Arabidopsis thaliana: one gene and its partners. The main gene of each other region encodes a partner of the protein of the gene in region 2 in a complex. Each region holds a gene or a part of one and is shown on either strand. Other genes may lie near its edges.

Region 1 (5,147 bases), on a different chromosome or scaffold from region 2:
AAGTCCCATGAGATTTGTTTAAGAGGCTTACTCTTCGGTCATACTTTTTAAGGTTGATGGTCTGATACAAAACCTAGAGAAGGAAATTGATGATGTGGATATCAAAATTGGCAAAGGCTGGCAGCTTCTTGACAGGTATATAGACTCCATTTTTCTGTTTGAGTGTTCTGTTTCCGAGACTTAGAATCTAAAGTGATCACATCTGAATGAACACAGAGATCGAGATGGAAAAGTCACACCTGATGAAGTTGCGGCTGCTGCAATGTACCTGAAAGACACACTCGCTAACGACGGCCTTCAACAACTAATCAGTAGTCTCTCCAAAGATAAAGGTAAAGAACAGAGCGATCCTCTCCTTCTTGAGCTCTTATCTCCCTGAAGTTGATCTTTTTTATAAATCTGTTATTCAACAGAGGGAAGAATTATGGTGGAAGACATTGTAAGGTTGGGGAGATTGGGAAGCAAGCCAGAAGAAAATGCAACGGAAGAAGAATCAAGCTGAAGGAAATAATACTATGATTTTAAGACACACATAGACTTTTTAATACTAGTGAAGAGAGTTTTATTGAGAGAAGCTCTACTTCATGTTTTGCTGCTTAGACATAAGCAGGCTACTTACATATACAAGCGGCTAAGAATACGAGACCTTTTGCTAGTAATGTGAAAAGAGGTTGAAGATTAAAAATAACATTACGCCAAGAATGATATCTTGAGCGTTTTATTTCAATGGAAACTCCTGATTCAAATGTGTCGATGGCTATGAATATGATAATCTGATGATTGACTGGTTATACTAGTTTGACATGTGTGTTTCCAGTGATCCCTAAATGACATAATTCGATTACTAAACTTTAATGATCTTCCTCGTTTCGATCTGTTGGTCACCCAAACTCAATTTTGTTTGCTTGTATGATTGTATCAAGCCATAAATTAATAATTTTTCTTCTTTATCTGGGGTCACATGGAAGAGTATCATATTACTAAGAAAAAAGTGATGTCTGTATCCCAAAAATCTACTGAAGAACATAGGATGACAATCTTGGTACATGTCTACTACTCTTTTAATATGAGGTAGAAGAAGACAACAAAAATGGCAGCCATAACATGACCACTGTTGTTGTTGTTGATGATCATGATGGGCCTAGGCTCCGTCTGCTACAGTCATGTTTACTGTACTGATGTAAAGAACTGCATCCAAAGAAACCACACTTAAAAAGAAAGATATACAAAGAAGAAGATTGAGAGAAGGATGAGTGTGAGAGATTTTAGTTACCGTTGTTTCCACGGATAAAGGCGTCACCATATTTGTTCTTGAGCTGCCCGTTTACATACTCCTCCGTCTGCTCCATTGCTATGTTCATATATCCATCAAGACAAGTAAGAGTGCCTGTGAAAAGAGTAATAAAAACTTGATCAAGAACTCAACATTAAGCTTGAACAGAACATAGACAAAACTGACTCGGGCACGAAAGGAAAGAAGTCAACAAGAATGATATAAGTAGCCTTGATAATGAGAGAAACTGACTTAAATATTCAAATATCTCAGTCAACTATTGTAACCTTATTGCAGGCAGAAAGGAACATGTTCTTAAGAAAACCATTGAACAATGTTCACAAGGAAACCTTAGAAAATGTAAGAAAAGCTTCACATATTGACTTTAAAAGAATCATTTAAAAGCTGAAGACATAACATGATAATTAAGTTACTTAAGTGGGCTTAATACAAGCAACTCTTTAATTCCCTTAACATAGACAAAAGAACTAGTCCTAAGTCAAAGCTTCTAACCTAAAGTGCAGCAGAGATAGAGAACTTGCAAAACACATAAGAACATCTAACGAGAGAGAGAGGCACCTCGATAATCAACACCAGAATTGAGCTTGACAACAACGGGTCTCCCACGGATGGATTTGAGGAAATCTGCAGGTGTCTTTGTCGTTCCAGAAACTTTCTCTTCAACTCCACTCATCTTTTAAGCTCGATCCTTTACGTAACTGCAGAAACAATTGAGATCTGAAATCAGTTTGGTCGCTCTTCGAACTACAAAAACTCAAAAGGTAAAAACCATTCAGAGTCAATCTCTCGAATCACAAAAAGACTCCGAAACCTAAAAACCTAAACCTTCAACCCAATAGAAGCGAATTCGATTGAAAATGTAAAGAGAAATCGAAACTTTAACAAGGATTAAAGGAACTGAAAGAAGAACTCCTTACCTGAGACCTACTCGAGTACGAGACACAGAGAGAAAGAGAGAGCGAAGAAATAACGAATCGGTCCTAAGGGCTTTTATTATTTATTTCCAAAACTATATACTATATGATTATTGTTATTTCGATTCGATCGAGTTTTCATATTAAAACTAATAATAATTGAACATTAGTCCTTATAGATTTTATTATTTTACTTTGGAGGGTGAAATTAAATCTCCAGTGCGTTTCGGTTCGACCTCACAGTTTCTTCTGTTCTCGTCTCTCTCTCGTTTGCTTTCTCTACAGATCCCTAAATCCTCTCCCTTTGGACCGTTAATCCCCCAAACCCTAGATTTTACAAACAATTCCTCTCAATCTCTCTAAATTCTCTTTCTCCTGCAAGGAATTTGCGGACTGTTTCTTGTGGGGTAAATCTTCTATTAGCTATGGGGAAGAATCAAGCTTACAAGGCTATGCAGAGATCTAGGGTTGGTTCCAGCTCCGCCCAGCCGGATGAGGTTGAAGACGGAATGGTTTGTACCTTTTCATACTCTCATCTTCTTCATTGCAAATTGATTCTGTTTTTTTTTACTTCTCCAAACAAAATTCCAATTTGGTTGATTTACTTATGGTTTTGTTGATCTTTTGTGTTGTTGGGTTATCGAGCTGCATTTAGAATTAAGCCTACAAGAGATCCTTTATGAGTCCCAATTTTGGGGGAAGAACTTGTATCTAATACCTGCTAGGTCTTGTAGACGATATCAAGTCCATGTTTAAATGTGATTTCGTAAAAGTGTAGCATCAGAGTTTGTGTTACAGTGATTCAAGAGTCTTTTTATTGTTGTTGTAAGCTGTGAACACAAAGAAGCATTTGGATTAGTCAAACTTTGATATTTTGCATTGGTACCGGAACATTTCTGATGAGGATTGTCTCAGGTGGATGGTTCATTTCATACACCAGAGTGGCATGCGGCTCGTTTGGCTAGCCTCAAGACTACACATACTATTACCTGGGAAGAGTATAAGCAGAAGCAAAAGGTAATCTTTTTGCCTTTTTAATACTTAAGTTCTTCTGTATGTTGTATGGAACGGTGTTCCTTGTTATAATGCCATAGAAGATAATCAATTGACCATTGATGATTTAGTGTTCATAAGATTGCTATTATTGTCGTCAATTTAGAAGCTTTATTCCAACATATCATTTTCTTTTCCTCTGCTGTTTATCATCTTCAGCCACAGATACGCAGTCTTTGTGTGTTTATATAAAAATGAGTGTGTCTTCCTTCTACATTACATCTATCCCTATCTCGCGGTTTTCAAGTAACTCTAGTCATGCTCATTTTTTAAACATTTTTATTATCTGCAATATCAGTTTTTTACTACTACTTGCAGCAGTCTCTCTGTATTGTGAGTATGGAACATTAGGAAATGTTTAACATTATATCTTTCTTTCGTGTAACATGTGTAGGAAGAAGAATTGAAAAAGGGAGAACTTGAAGCAGATACCGATAAACTGATGCGTGAGTATAGAGCTCAGCTGGATGCAGAAAGGTCGTTGAAACTCTCCAAAGGAAGGAACTATTCTAGTGATAAGTCACGAAAAGGTAAACATAATCCACTTAACTTAACATGACATCTAAACCTTCTTTCTGAGGACGTTATTAACTGGTCGCCAATGGTTCAATGACCTCGCAGATAAGAAAGACAGAGATTCAAAGAAGAAGAAAAGCAAAAAGAGAAAGGTGCCTTCTAAAAGTTTAGCTTATATCAGATAGTGTGAGGTTTTCTAGCTTATGCTAACATGAACCATGATCGGTTGTGTTATGAATTTGCAGCATTATTCGTCCTCAGAGTCGTCATCTAGCAGTGATGAAGATGAATCTAGAAGATCAAGATCAAGTTCGAAAAGATCAAAGAAGGAGAAGAAGCACAAGTCCAGCAGAGACAAACACTCTAGCAAAAGTAAACACGAAACCGATGGCCCTGTACCACTCTCTAGATTCTTTGGCAATTTGAAGAATTGACAAAAGCAAAACTGCAAATGAACTATTACAAAGAGTAAGATTGTCTTCAATCAAAATACTCAAAGTAGGATATGATTGCTTTCTTCCTTGTTGCAATGTTATATTTTTGACAATAGCTCATGTATTAATATTTGTTGGATTGAAAGTCGCAATGATGCCCACAGAATCATGGTTTTTCAGTTTATTTGCTTAAAAATGAAATTTGACAACATCAAAAGGGAATCTAGCAGAAAATCTTAGCACAACAAAATTTCTGAGAGATGAAAAAATTAAAGGAAATGAAAAGGGAAATTATTCAAAGAAAAGCAGAGAAGGAAAAGAAAAAAACAGAACAAGGATCAAAGATATGGTCCTTTTCAATCATTGCTGGTTTCAGGGTTGAAAGCTAGGGCTTCACAGTAGATTAACTCTCTAAACTGCTCCTCAGAGAATGGATGTTCATCTAAATCGAAATTGAAGGGCTCTGAGCACTCTGGTTCATCGGTAATGTCGTGAAACGAGCTAAGGTATGGATGAGCAAGTGCTTCTTTAACTGCAAAGTGGCAAAACTGATGATAAGAATCCAAATAAAACTGCAGAAGAGGCTATATGGAGACAGAAACTGACCTGAGATTCTCTGTTTAGGATCAAATGTTAGCATCTTCTCCACCAAGTCTATTGCTAAGGGAGGCACGTTCGGGAATTTCTCAGTGAAAGATTGGCGAGGAAGCGTAGGAAGCTGCCTTATGTATCGCTTAGCGTATTCACTCAACGATCCAAGCTCTTCTTCAGATGGAGTGCCAATGAGCTGCAAAACAATGTCCCAAGACTTTTTAAGCTAATCATGAATCACAAAAAACGAATATGATCTTGGCACAACAAAGGGTTTTACTTTACTACCTCCAGAAGCAAACGAAGCTGATTAACTTGATCTTTCCCCGGGAAGAGCGGTTCACG
Region 2 (5,304 bases):
CCTGAATATAGAAGTCTTGCTCATGCCACTTGTGAGATTATTTGGCTACAACAGCTGCTTTAAGACTTACACATCAAAGTTACTTGTCCGGCAAAACTCTTCTGCGACAACAAATCAGCTATCCACATTGCTATGAACCCGGTATTTCATGAGAGGACTAAACACATAGAGATAGATTGCCATACAGTTCGTGACCAAATCAAGGCTGGTCATCTCACTACTCTACATGTTCCGACTGAGAATCAACATGCTGATATTTTGACAAAACCATTACATCCCGGTCCATTCCATCATTTACTTCAGAAGATGTCAATTTCAAATCTTTATCTTCATAAACCAGACACTTAGAACGTAAAGGTTTGAGAGGGGCGTATTATGATATATGGTGCGACAGGTTAACATCAGTTATCTGATGGTTGGTTTAGTATGGTTATTAGTGATGTATATATAAGCTTAAGTACACTTTATTTAGATTAAGATTTTGTAAAAACATTTACATGATAATAAAGATTCTGTTAGATATGAGTTTTAGCTCTCCTCTGTTCCCTTCTCTAGCTTGATCTCTCCGGTGTATCAGACTTCAATAGTTTATAATTTACTTTTCGATAACGATTATGATTTGTCCAAAAAATAAAAGTGAAACCAAAATTTAATTAAACAAGAGGGAGATTATAAAATAGTCCTCACTACGGCTGGACACGAAAAAATATCCTGAAAATTAGTGATATTTGTTATTCGATTCGTTTTAACAGAATAATTGATTTTATGATTTGCTTTCATCCAAAATATTCGGATACCCGAATTTTTTTTGTGATGATTATGGATATCCACTTTGATATATCTATTTTTTTTATATATAAATTATTTGATATAGTTTTAAAATAAGTTCCAAAACACACATTGTTGATATCACTGATCAAGAAAATGCTATTAAATTAATTCTAAAAACCAAAATCCGATAGTTTAAGATGCCACTAACATGAAAGAAAAATGACCAAACTAATAACTTAACACAATATATCCAAAGGAGAAAAACTAAAGTTACAAATACTACAAACCCAAAATATACAATTATACAAACTATATTATGATATCTACATATATATACATGACTATATATTCTAACTAGATAAGGATCCGTCCGATGGACGAATTTATTTTTTTATAACTAAAATTAAATTCAGTAAAAATAATAAATAATGACGTTGTAAGTAGAAATTATCTTTCAAAAGTAAAATATATTTATTTTTACTGTTTATTGTGTTTTTCACCACTAATATTATTGATTAAAAATTATTTGAATGAAAAATATATCACATTGACTAAAACCCTTTATATATAAAGATGATCTATCAACGTTGACTAAAAACTTTTGAAATCATGACATATGATAAAACTTTTGATTGATAACTTATTCATGATAATATTAGTTACTAATTTTGAGAAAAAAATCTATTATATTATTTATAAAATGTGATATCCGTCAATGCTGAAGATAAATGGTTTTAGTAGAAAAGCATTTTCAGGCCGATTTGACCCGACTGAGTTCAAACGGATGTATGTGGAGCTTTTACAAAATAAAGTTGACTCATTTTTAGTTATCTATTTTGTATTTACTTTATCAGCGTTGGATTAAGTAAGACAATGACAATCTTTGGAAGTTACATCGTCTCGTTGGAATACGCACAAATGAAGTCTCACTCAGGCTACGATGACCAATCCAAGCAATAGAGGAGAGATTAAGAGTCTTAGAGTCAAACTGGTCTGCAAAGAACTTTATAAAGTGATGAGGATCAAATGTAGAAGATTTGAAGATGACATAGAAGAAATTTTCGAATTCACATGTAATTATAAGTCTTTTGGTTTTGATTCATGAATAAAGTGATTCTTTCTTCGTTAATGATTGAGATTTCGGTTTAGATTTTTTTTTTAGTCTAAATTAAGGTCAACAACACGTTTGAATCTTTATTCATCTTTTTTTTACGGCTCTAATATCTCTTAATTTTACTCGATTTGGTGTTATTTAAATTTCGATTCGGCCGTTGAATACCTGAAATTTTGCTAGGTCAAGTTATTCAAATCTTTTTAACAGAGATATTTACTATTTGCGAGTTTATAAATGTGTGTGCATTTTTCGTAAAAGAATCAAAAATTTCTTTTTTGGAGTTTTGTGTCGATAGATGGTTAAGAGATTTTACCAAATGATTTACTTTACGACTTACAAGTACTTCACAAGTTCATAGTTAAATTTTAAAAGCGTTGCTCAGAATTAGAGGTGGATCAAACTTATGTTTCGTTTTAATTTTATTTTTGGTTAAATTTGTTAGTAATTGTTTTTAATAGGTTGTGCCGTTGTGGTAAATTTGCTTTGTGTTTACCAGTTATCTTGTTTTTTAAACATCTATTTTATTAGATTAAAAGTAAGGAGTATAATGACAATGCTAAATTTAGTTGTCTTTATTGTAATTTCTATTCAGATGATGTTTATTCTTCTTAGCTAACTGAACAATTGTATTACGATTTTATTAATTCCTAACTAATATCCCCTTCCAATTTTATTTCGGGTTTAGTTAACAATTTAATGTTTAGTTATCGGTTTATGGTTCAATTTACGGTTCAGTTCAAATAATATGGTAACCATGGTTAGGGATTTAAACCAGAGTCCTTTACGAGATCAGAGTTAAAAAACAAAAAGCGTCACTAGGAAGCTGCGACTATTTGACTGACTCTGATTTCACGCGACTCCTTGTGAGATTCTCCGATTGCTTCGCCTGAGTTTCTGGGTTAACTCTCCACGCCGTCACTTTGATCTTTGCTTTTCCGGTGAGGTTTCTTCATCCACTTGTTGATTTCCGAATTCACACATTTTCCGAATCCACTTGGGGCCAAAGAATTGCAAACCCTAATTTTTAATCATCAACTCTATTCTGAACCAATTTGATTTCCGTTTTTTGCAGATCTTTAGGGTTTTTGTTTAGGGAATTGTCGAAGACTCTGCTCTAACATGGTAAAGTTTAACCTAAATTGAAGTAGCAAAGTATCATTGTTATATGAGTCGAGTTAATTCTTAAGCGAGTGTTTGTTATTCACAGTCTGGAAGAAAAGAAACGGTTTTAGATTTGGCCAAGTTTGTAGATAAGGGTGTGCAAGTTAAGCTCACTGGTGGTAGACAAGGTAATAAAACAAGTGTTTCTCTCATTATGCTCCAAAGATGATGATTCTTTCTAATGTTTTCTCTGAGATTTGTTTGATAGTTGCTATGTTTTTTGCTTGCAGTGACTGGAACTCTTAAAGGCTATGACCAATTGCTTAATCTTGTTCTTGATGAAGCAGTCGAGTTCGTTCGAGGTATCTTTTATCTTACCTATATCTACTGCATTGATCTTGTTAGGCTACAATTCTCTAGTGGAATCCGCCTCTTAGTAAACGAATCTCTGTATTGCTATGAAGTTTATTACTCTGGTTCATACAGATGTCTCCATGATGCCATTGGAAGATATATGGAAATTTTGATTAGAAGAGACTGTTTGATTGCTTAATCATGTTATGTTGGTGATATGAATGGGATGATTTCATTCTCTTAGCTAGATTTTGAAACTAGAAGTGGGATCATATTTCCATAGATCTAACTCAGTTTTATGACCCTTGTGTTATGTTTTGATCAGATCATGATGATCCTTTGAAGACTACGGATCAGACAAGACGCCTTGGTTTGATTGTATGATTCATTTACCTTCTTTTTTCATTACTATAAGTGTAATCCTGTTTAGTGCAAATAATATCATTGTTTCTTCTAGCATCGTGTTATTTGTAATGGAGTTCCATAGTTTAGATGCTAAATCATGATGGTTTGTCTTGTTTTTAGGTTTGCCGTGGAACAGCGGTGATGCTTGTCTCACCAACCGATGGCACCGAAGAAATCGCTAACCCGTTCGTTACTGCAGAGGCTGTCTAAAGACTTTCTTCTCAAAGAATATGTCTCTCTATTAGTTTAACTTGGCGATTTAGAGAGTATTTCATCTAACTCTCTGGTGTGATGTTGGAAACATATATGTTCAATTTAAACAATTTGGAACATCATGGACACTTACCTAACTTCGTTCTCAAATCTCGTTGTGCCAAAGCACAAAATCTCCTTAACCAGAACTGAAGTAAACCGGAAAAATCGAATGTCTGAGTCTTCTCGTTACTGAACCATGGATTTATAAGCGAGTGATTTGAAATTTTTGAAGTTGTTTCCATAGTTTTAGTGGAGACGATGAAGTCAGTAATGTCAAAGATCAAACTTTTTAGACCAGTCGTCACGTTACGTTGTTCTTACAGCTCCACAGATCAAACTCTTCTTCTTAGCGAATTTACCAGACTCTGTTACCAGAGAGACCTTCCCAGAGCTATGAAAGCAATGGATTCATTGCAAAGTCATGGTCTTTGGGCAGACTCTGCAACTTATTCTGAGCTTATCAAGTGTTGTATATCTAATAGAGCTGTTCATGAAGGGAATCTCATTTGTCGTCATTTATACTTCAATGGTCATCGACCAATGATGTTTCTGGTTAATGTTCTGATCAATATGTATGTAAAATTCAATCTTTTGAATGATGCTCACCAACTGTTCGATCAAATGCCTCAAAGGAATGTTATTTCTTGGACTACGATGATTTCTGCTTATTCTAAGTGTAAGATTCATCAAAAGGCTTTGGAGCTTTTGGTTTTGATGTTGAGAGATAATGTGAGGCCTAATGTGTATACTTACTCTTCTGTTTTGAGATCTTGCAATGGTATGTCTGATGTTAGAATGCTTCATTGTGGGATTATTAAGGAGGGGTTGGAGTCTGATGTTTTTGTTAGGAGTGCTTTGATTGATGTGTTTGCTAAACTGGGTGAGCCGGAGGATGCTCTTTCGGTTTTCGATGAAATGGTTACAGGTGATGCGATTGTTTGGAACTCGATCATTGGTGGGTTTGCTCAGAATAGTAGAAGCGATGTAGCTTTGGAGCTTTTTAAGAGGATGAAGAGAGCTGGTTTCATTGCGGAGCAGGCTACGTTGACTAGCGTATTGAGGGCTTGTACTGGTTTGGCTCTGTTGGAGCTTGGGATGCAAGCTCATGTTCATATCGTGAAATATGACCAAGACTTGATACTCAACAACGCACTCGTGGACATGTATTGCAAGTGTGGGAGTTTGGAGGATGCTCTCCGTGTGTTCAACCAGATGAAGGAGAGAGATGTGATTACATGGAGCACTATGATTTCAGGGTTGGCACAGAATGGTTATAGCCAGGAGGCACTGAAGTTGTTTGAGCG
Region 3 (5,650 bases), on a different chromosome or scaffold from region 2:
AGAGATTGTGTCGGGATAGGGTTATTATCGTCATTATTTCGTGTGTCAGAAGAGAGAGATTTGATTATGAGATTTTCGTTCGCAAATCTTTAATTATATCATCTTCTATGATTTTATTTTTTGTTTACCCATAAATATTTAAGTTTACATTGAGAAAAATAAAATAAATGACCAAAATACTCATATTCTCATGCAAATTCCATTACTACTAGTTTTTTCTAGGGATTTACTCAGATAATAATTAGGTTGTTATTACTAGATAGCCAAATTCTGAGATTAAATAAAGATATTAATCATAAGTTTAGTTTTTGTTAGAAAAGAACTATGGATTCACACGTTAGACGGTGTATATTGACGAAAATATCTTTATCAATTTCTAATATTACAATAAGACTTCCGATAGATTTGAGAAGAGGAAAATTCAATTGTAAAAATACAGTGAAGAAAAATATGTAATTTTCATGATATTTGAAGAAATACATATGACTCCTTACATAACGTGAAATATTGACAGATATGTATAATTATTACATTAAAACATAGTTATTTTATGAAATACTAATGATATATTGGATAAAAGACATGTAATTTGTTTATATAACATGAAATCTTGACAAAAATATGAATCTGTTCCAAAAAAAAAATATGAGATTTTGTTAGATAGCTTGACAAAAATTTACAAGTCAATGTAAAGACTTAAGAGCATGTTTTGTCTTTGAAATACATGCGTTTTTTAAATCATATCTAATCTTATATGTCATGCCGACGAGTGATGGAGAAAATCCGGTGAAAGAGGAAAAAAAGAATAGATAGGAAAAAAAGAAAAATAATAAAAGGGTAAGATGGACCAAAGATCTTATAAAAACCCTGTCGTTGGTTAATTGTATAAATTCTCTAACAATTATATAAATTCAAGACCTGAAAGATTCATTTTTAAGCGCAAATGAAAACAATTGGAATTTCACATATACCACAAAAAGGCAAAAGACAAATTTCATTTTTCGAAAAGATCACAAGGAGAATCGAAAAACACACTCCCTATCCCTTACATACTTAATAGAAAACCAACAACAGACCAACTTCTTATGTAACTTTTGGTTTTCTCCACAATGGGAAGTTAGCAGATTTGGCAGCGAGTCTTTAAAACTTGTTGCATCAACCACGGCCGCGACCTGCTCCTGTTTTTCATAACATATTAGAGTTTTAGCTTAAATCCCATTGTGGCAAGACACAGATATTTGAAGTATTCTAGTAAAATCAGAGTTTTGTGACAAGCTTTGTTTGTGTATTTTTTACCTCTGTTGCCACCCATCTTCCCCATTGAAGTTCCTCTGCCTCTGCCTCTGGCTCCTCCATCATCCACACCACGTCCTCTTCCACGTCCAACACCTGGTGGTTTTCTATCTGCACATATTCAACCATCGTTATTAACACCTGAAGTATTCTCAATGTCTACTCTGGCAAAATATTAACACCTCAGAAAACTCGAAGCATATCTCAGTAAAGGTACAATATAGACATGAGTAATACTATACCTGTGCGTGTCTTCTCCTCCTGTACTTTATCAATCACCTGAAGAGAGAAGAAATCAATTTAAGTCAGTTAACTCAATCTAGGTTGCAGCAGTAAGAACATAAATAGAAACAGCATATGACTGTCCTTCTAGATGAAGATATCGTTTATGGTATGTGAATATAATTTGATTTTAGAGGGAATGAAATAAAGTAGAAACAATAGAGAAAAATCGCATCAGAAACACAACACAGCAAAGTCCATAAAAGTGGGTCAACATTCTGGTCAGCAATAACCATTCCCTGTGATATCGTCTAAGACGCACTACAACAAGAGGCACACCATCTGCTGAACAAGGTTCCACAGAAAAATGCCTCTTGGAGCACATATCTGATTTGGCTAAGCATCATCATTCCAGAGAGAGGGGAACAAAGAAAAAACTAGATCAAGCAAGAGATATATACACACACACACAAAAAAAAATTACCTCATCCGGAACTCGAAGGTACTTGATTGTGTTACCACGGATATAACATTCCGGCATCCTCCAAAATCTATCTCCGTCCTAGAGTAATCAAGCAGCAAAATATATGAGTGTCAGCTACACAAAATTTCATCACGAAGTCTAAACAAAGTATATTTGTATCAACATATGAAAACATAAGATAACCTTTGATGTACATATGACTTCACGCAGATGGATGTTCATCCAAGTATCACAATTCACCAAATGCCCATTGTATGTCTCTCCATTCTTAAGCTCCACGAGCTACCAAAACAAAACAAGATTCAAAATTACAGTAAAAGGAAGTTCCTTTAGATCCCTAATGCAATGCTCACTTAAACTCAGCTTCACTTCATATATAACAAAATTGTAATCAAGGGTCGAAATTTTACTCACCATAGGATGCCCTTGAGCAGTTTTAAGCAGCGATAGAGGAAGCTATAAAATCAAAACAACAGCTTTCAGTTAATAAAAATTGAAACTTTAACGCAAACAAGAAAGAAGGAAAAAAACCCTAAGTTTGTCTAGTAACTTACCATCTTCTTAAATCAGAAGATTTAGAGATCCGTTAAGAACCTGATGACATCAGAGAAGTATAACATTAAACCCTTTATAAGATGCGGAAGAAGCAATAGCGAAAACGGAACAAAAACCCTAATTCAGCTACTAAAAAAAATCTGAGAGAAAAGGGAGAAACCTTGTAATATACTCCGAAGATCGGCAAGAAGGTGAACGATTCAAATATGAAAGAGATCGAAGAATAGAGAGGCGTCGAAACTTCGAAATCTGTTTTTTGCTTTTTTCTGCTTCTCGGGTTTTGACAGTGAGAGGGATGGATTTCTAATGAATCGGTGGTCTTTTAGTTTTAGGTCAATGGGAACTTTTTTGAGTTTTGCACTCGAGTCCCTTAACTTTATAATATTATCTGTTTTAGTATATATTGTTAAACATATCAATCTAGCCAACTAATCCGATGTCGTCCAGCGGTTAGGATATCTGGCTTTCACCCAGGAGACCCGGGTTCGATTCCCGGCATCGGAGCTTTTTGTTTTAATTTTTCGTATACTTTGTCTACACCAAAGTGTATTTGTAGCCGTTGGCAATGGTTACCTGGTGGAAAATAACTAATCATTAATATGTTATTGATGCTCTCGAAATTAATTAATTTACATCACTAAGGCGAACTGTGTGAATCAAACAAAGCCAAGTGATATGTCAAATCTAATCCTAAACTTTTACAATTAAGCTTAAAGCCTCAGCAATGTGATTGTTAAAGCTATTTTGTAACCGACAATACTTCAGACCTCTCTAAATTATCAACCAACTCGAACGTTATTGAACCTCGACCAGCTCCAGTAACTAAATCTTAATCAAAGTTTCAATTACACACAACTGTGTAATTGTGAATCTGTAACTGGTTTGTTTCAGCACATGAAAAGCTGATAGTCAGGTTCGTGAGCTCCGACATTCAAGTAATTGACATCAACTGCGGTTGTTCCCAAATCATCTGGTGGAGAAGGATAAGACATAAAGTTTCAATAGAGCATAAATCTTTAAGAGACTTTGAGTGTATGTATGTGTAATCAAATGTGATCTACAATGAAGCAAATTGATGAGTGAGATGAGAGAAGGTATAGAGTTGTTCAAACCTTCGTATATTGTTCTTACAAACTTAACATAGTCAGGGATGAGATCTCGGTATATGATTCCATCCGGATGCGCATCAAGAACCACAAGTACACCTACAGATCAATCAAAGGAAAGGAAGATGTCAAACGTAACACTACAATTGTTTTCCACGATACTAATGAAAGACAAGATCATCTTGAAACTATGAAGTGTTTAGATCTTTTCTATTACTCTCAGAGATGAAAACAGATATTATACCTGGAGCAACCCAATCTGGAGAAGAGTTGCTAGGTAATGGTGCAAGCCAAAGGATATTCCTCAAGTTCATTGAATCATTGTATTTCACGTCAGATCCTAACAAAAAGGAGATACAATCATAATACTGAAGATTTAAGGGATTTCTGTGACCATTTCTATGTTTCAAGAGATTGCAAGAAAACTCACAGTCACACGGACAAGAACCCATATTACCTCTCTGGCAATATCCCATGTTGTAAGGAAACACTTTCTTGTCATAGGCTGGATACTCTTTAGCATGAAACCTACCATCACCAATCAGATACTAGTCAACAACAGTACTCAAAACCTAGCTCAACCATGTAACTTTCTATAAATATTCCCCAAAACTCATTACTTACGTTCAACCTTTCTAAAAACACTGCAACAATTGTGTTAAGAATCAGAAACCATTCTTCCTTTATTGATAACTGTTGGTTACATTCAAGAACACAAGAACAAACCCTAGAGAGTTCTCTTCACTCTCAAAGCCTAAATGCTCCCAATTAACCAAATGGTCTAGACCCCCTTATATCTACTATTCTAGTGCCTATCAAAGCGTCTCGATTCTTACACAACGAAGTCAGTAACAGAACATGATCATCATTACTATTTCAAGAGTCCTAGTGTGTGTTGAGGAGACAAAGGAGACTTACAATATTCCAAGGCGTCCAGATTCTGAGGCAAGGAATAAATGGCCATGGAACAAATCATATCTACTCAATGAAACATTCAATCCAACACTAGGTCCCCTAGATTCAATTAGATGAAACAAGAACTCGAAATATGAGTTCACTTCCTGTTCATTAACATCATCAATCAGATCACTACACCATAAGATCAAACAGTTCACAAAATAGCTTCTTTTTTTACCTCTGCTATAAAATGACGACCATAAGGAGTTCTAGTAAGTTGACATTTATCTTTTCTTGATCGTTCAACATCAGGAACCTATAAAACCAAATTTTAACCAATTCAATCTAACGAACAATAAACCAAATCAAACCATTAAATTGAAGACGAACCGGGATCATTTTCGGATTGAGAGTTCGCTGAATTGAACCGGGATCACCACCGGAGTCAACAGCGAGACGAGCAAGCTCTAGAACCGATTCCGGTGGCCACCAGATTAGAGAATTCTCCTCTTCAAACTTGCTCCGTCTCTCAACGGCGTCAATTTTTCCGGAACAGAGTCCAGTACGAGGCGAGCATCGTCCAAATTCGGGTTTAGGTTTATCCGATTTGAATGGGACGAGGAATTTAAGACACGATTTGATCTCTCGAGAGACGATTGGGTTGAGGCACGACGCGGCGGAGGGAGGTCCGAGAACGGAGAGTAGATCGTCGCCGGTGGCTTTCGGAAATGACGACGGAGAATGAGAAGCGGAGTGGAGTTTGAAGGATGAAGCTGCTGCGATGGAGAAGGAGATGAAAATGGTGAAACGAAGAGGAACGTACGAATTCACCATTGTCGTGTCCTTCCTCTGAATTTTTGGTGAATCCACATTATCTTTGTAGAAATTGGAGAATGGAGAAGAGAGACTGTAGAGTCACGTAAACTCCATTGGAGAATTATTAGAAGTGTTTAATTAACGAAGCCATTAATTAGCGACAACGACAAACATTGTGGCACACAATTTGTGGGCAACCTTAAAACCCATTAAGAAGCCCGTTAAGAAATAGTTGGGCCACTTCCATCAAACGACGATCTTGATCATCCATCAATTT

Evidence for each region. The genes of interacting proteins can lie anywhere in the genome.
Region 1: EMB2816 (region 2) and LSM6A share a complex: the UniProt entries of both Arabidopsis thaliana proteins name them as parts of the heptameric LSM1-LSM7 complex.
Region 3: EMB2816 (region 2) and emb1644 share a complex: the UniProt entries of both Arabidopsis thaliana proteins name them as parts of the heptameric LSM1-LSM7 complex.

The regions. Positions count from the first base shown.
Region 1 is NC_003074.8:22,093,661-22,098,807, reverse strand, and holds LSM6A (Small nuclear ribonucleoprotein family protein), read right to left. Parts: upstream 2,340-5,147; 5' UTR 2,212-2,339; exon of another isoform or gene 1,993-2,211; 5' UTR 1,968-1,992; coding exon 1,853-1,967; intron 1,388-1,852; coding exon 1,274-1,387; intron 1,189-1,273; coding exon 1,142-1,188; 3' UTR 842-1,141; downstream 1-841. Other genes in the region: LETM1 (LETM1-like protein), read left to right, coding at 53-135, 217-332, 416-519; AT3G59800 (stress response protein), read left to right, coding at 2,634-2,720, 3,124-3,225, 3,656-3,791, 3,883-3,929, 4,023-4,211; MPK10 (MAP kinase 10), read right to left, coding at 4,568-4,743, 4,818-4,998, 5,091-5,147. UniProt on the Arabidopsis thaliana protein: Component of LSM protein complexes, which are involved in RNA processing. Component of the cytoplasmic LSM1-LSM7 complex which is involved in mRNA degradation by promoting decapping and leading to accurate 5'-3' mRNA decay.
Region 2 is NC_003071.7:1,177,302-1,182,605, forward strand, and holds EMB2816 (Small nuclear ribonucleoprotein family protein), read left to right. Parts: upstream 1-2,669; 5' UTR 2,670-2,823; intron 2,824-2,915; exon of another isoform or gene 2,916-2,957; 5' UTR 2,958-3,004; coding exon 3,005-3,007; intron 3,008-3,092; coding exon 3,093-3,174; intron 3,175-3,276; coding exon 3,277-3,348; intron 3,349-3,665; coding exon 3,666-3,718; intron 3,719-3,865; coding exon 3,866-3,955; 3' UTR 3,956-4,211; downstream 4,212-5,304. Other genes in the region: REME1 (Pentatricopeptide repeat (PPR) superfamily protein), read left to right, coding at 4,259-5,304. UniProt on the Arabidopsis thaliana protein: Component of LSM protein complexes, which are involved in RNA processing. Component of the cytoplasmic LSM1-LSM7 complex which is involved in mRNA degradation by promoting decapping and leading to accurate 5'-3' mRNA decay.
Region 3 is NC_003076.8:9,812,810-9,818,459, reverse strand, and holds emb1644 (Small nuclear ribonucleoprotein family protein), read right to left. Parts: upstream 2,961-5,650; 5' UTR 2,715-2,960; intron 2,594-2,714; 5' UTR 2,557-2,593; coding exon 2,554-2,556; intron 2,456-2,553; coding exon 2,414-2,455; intron 2,282-2,413; coding exon 2,183-2,281; intron 2,078-2,182; coding exon 2,000-2,077; intron 1,931-1,999; exon of another isoform or gene 1,793-1,930; intron 1,573-1,792; coding exon 1,536-1,572; intron 1,405-1,535; coding exon 1,297-1,404; intron 1,179-1,296; coding exon 1,156-1,178; 3' UTR 842-1,155; downstream 1-841. Other genes in the region: AT5G27710 (T-box protein), read right to left, coding at 3,442-3,524, 3,667-3,759, 3,905-4,000, 4,118-4,188, 4,579-4,721, 4,796-4,873, 4,948-5,391. UniProt on the Arabidopsis thaliana protein: Component of LSM protein complexes, which are involved in RNA processing. Component of the cytoplasmic LSM1-LSM7 complex which is involved in mRNA degradation by promoting decapping and leading to accurate 5'-3' mRNA decay.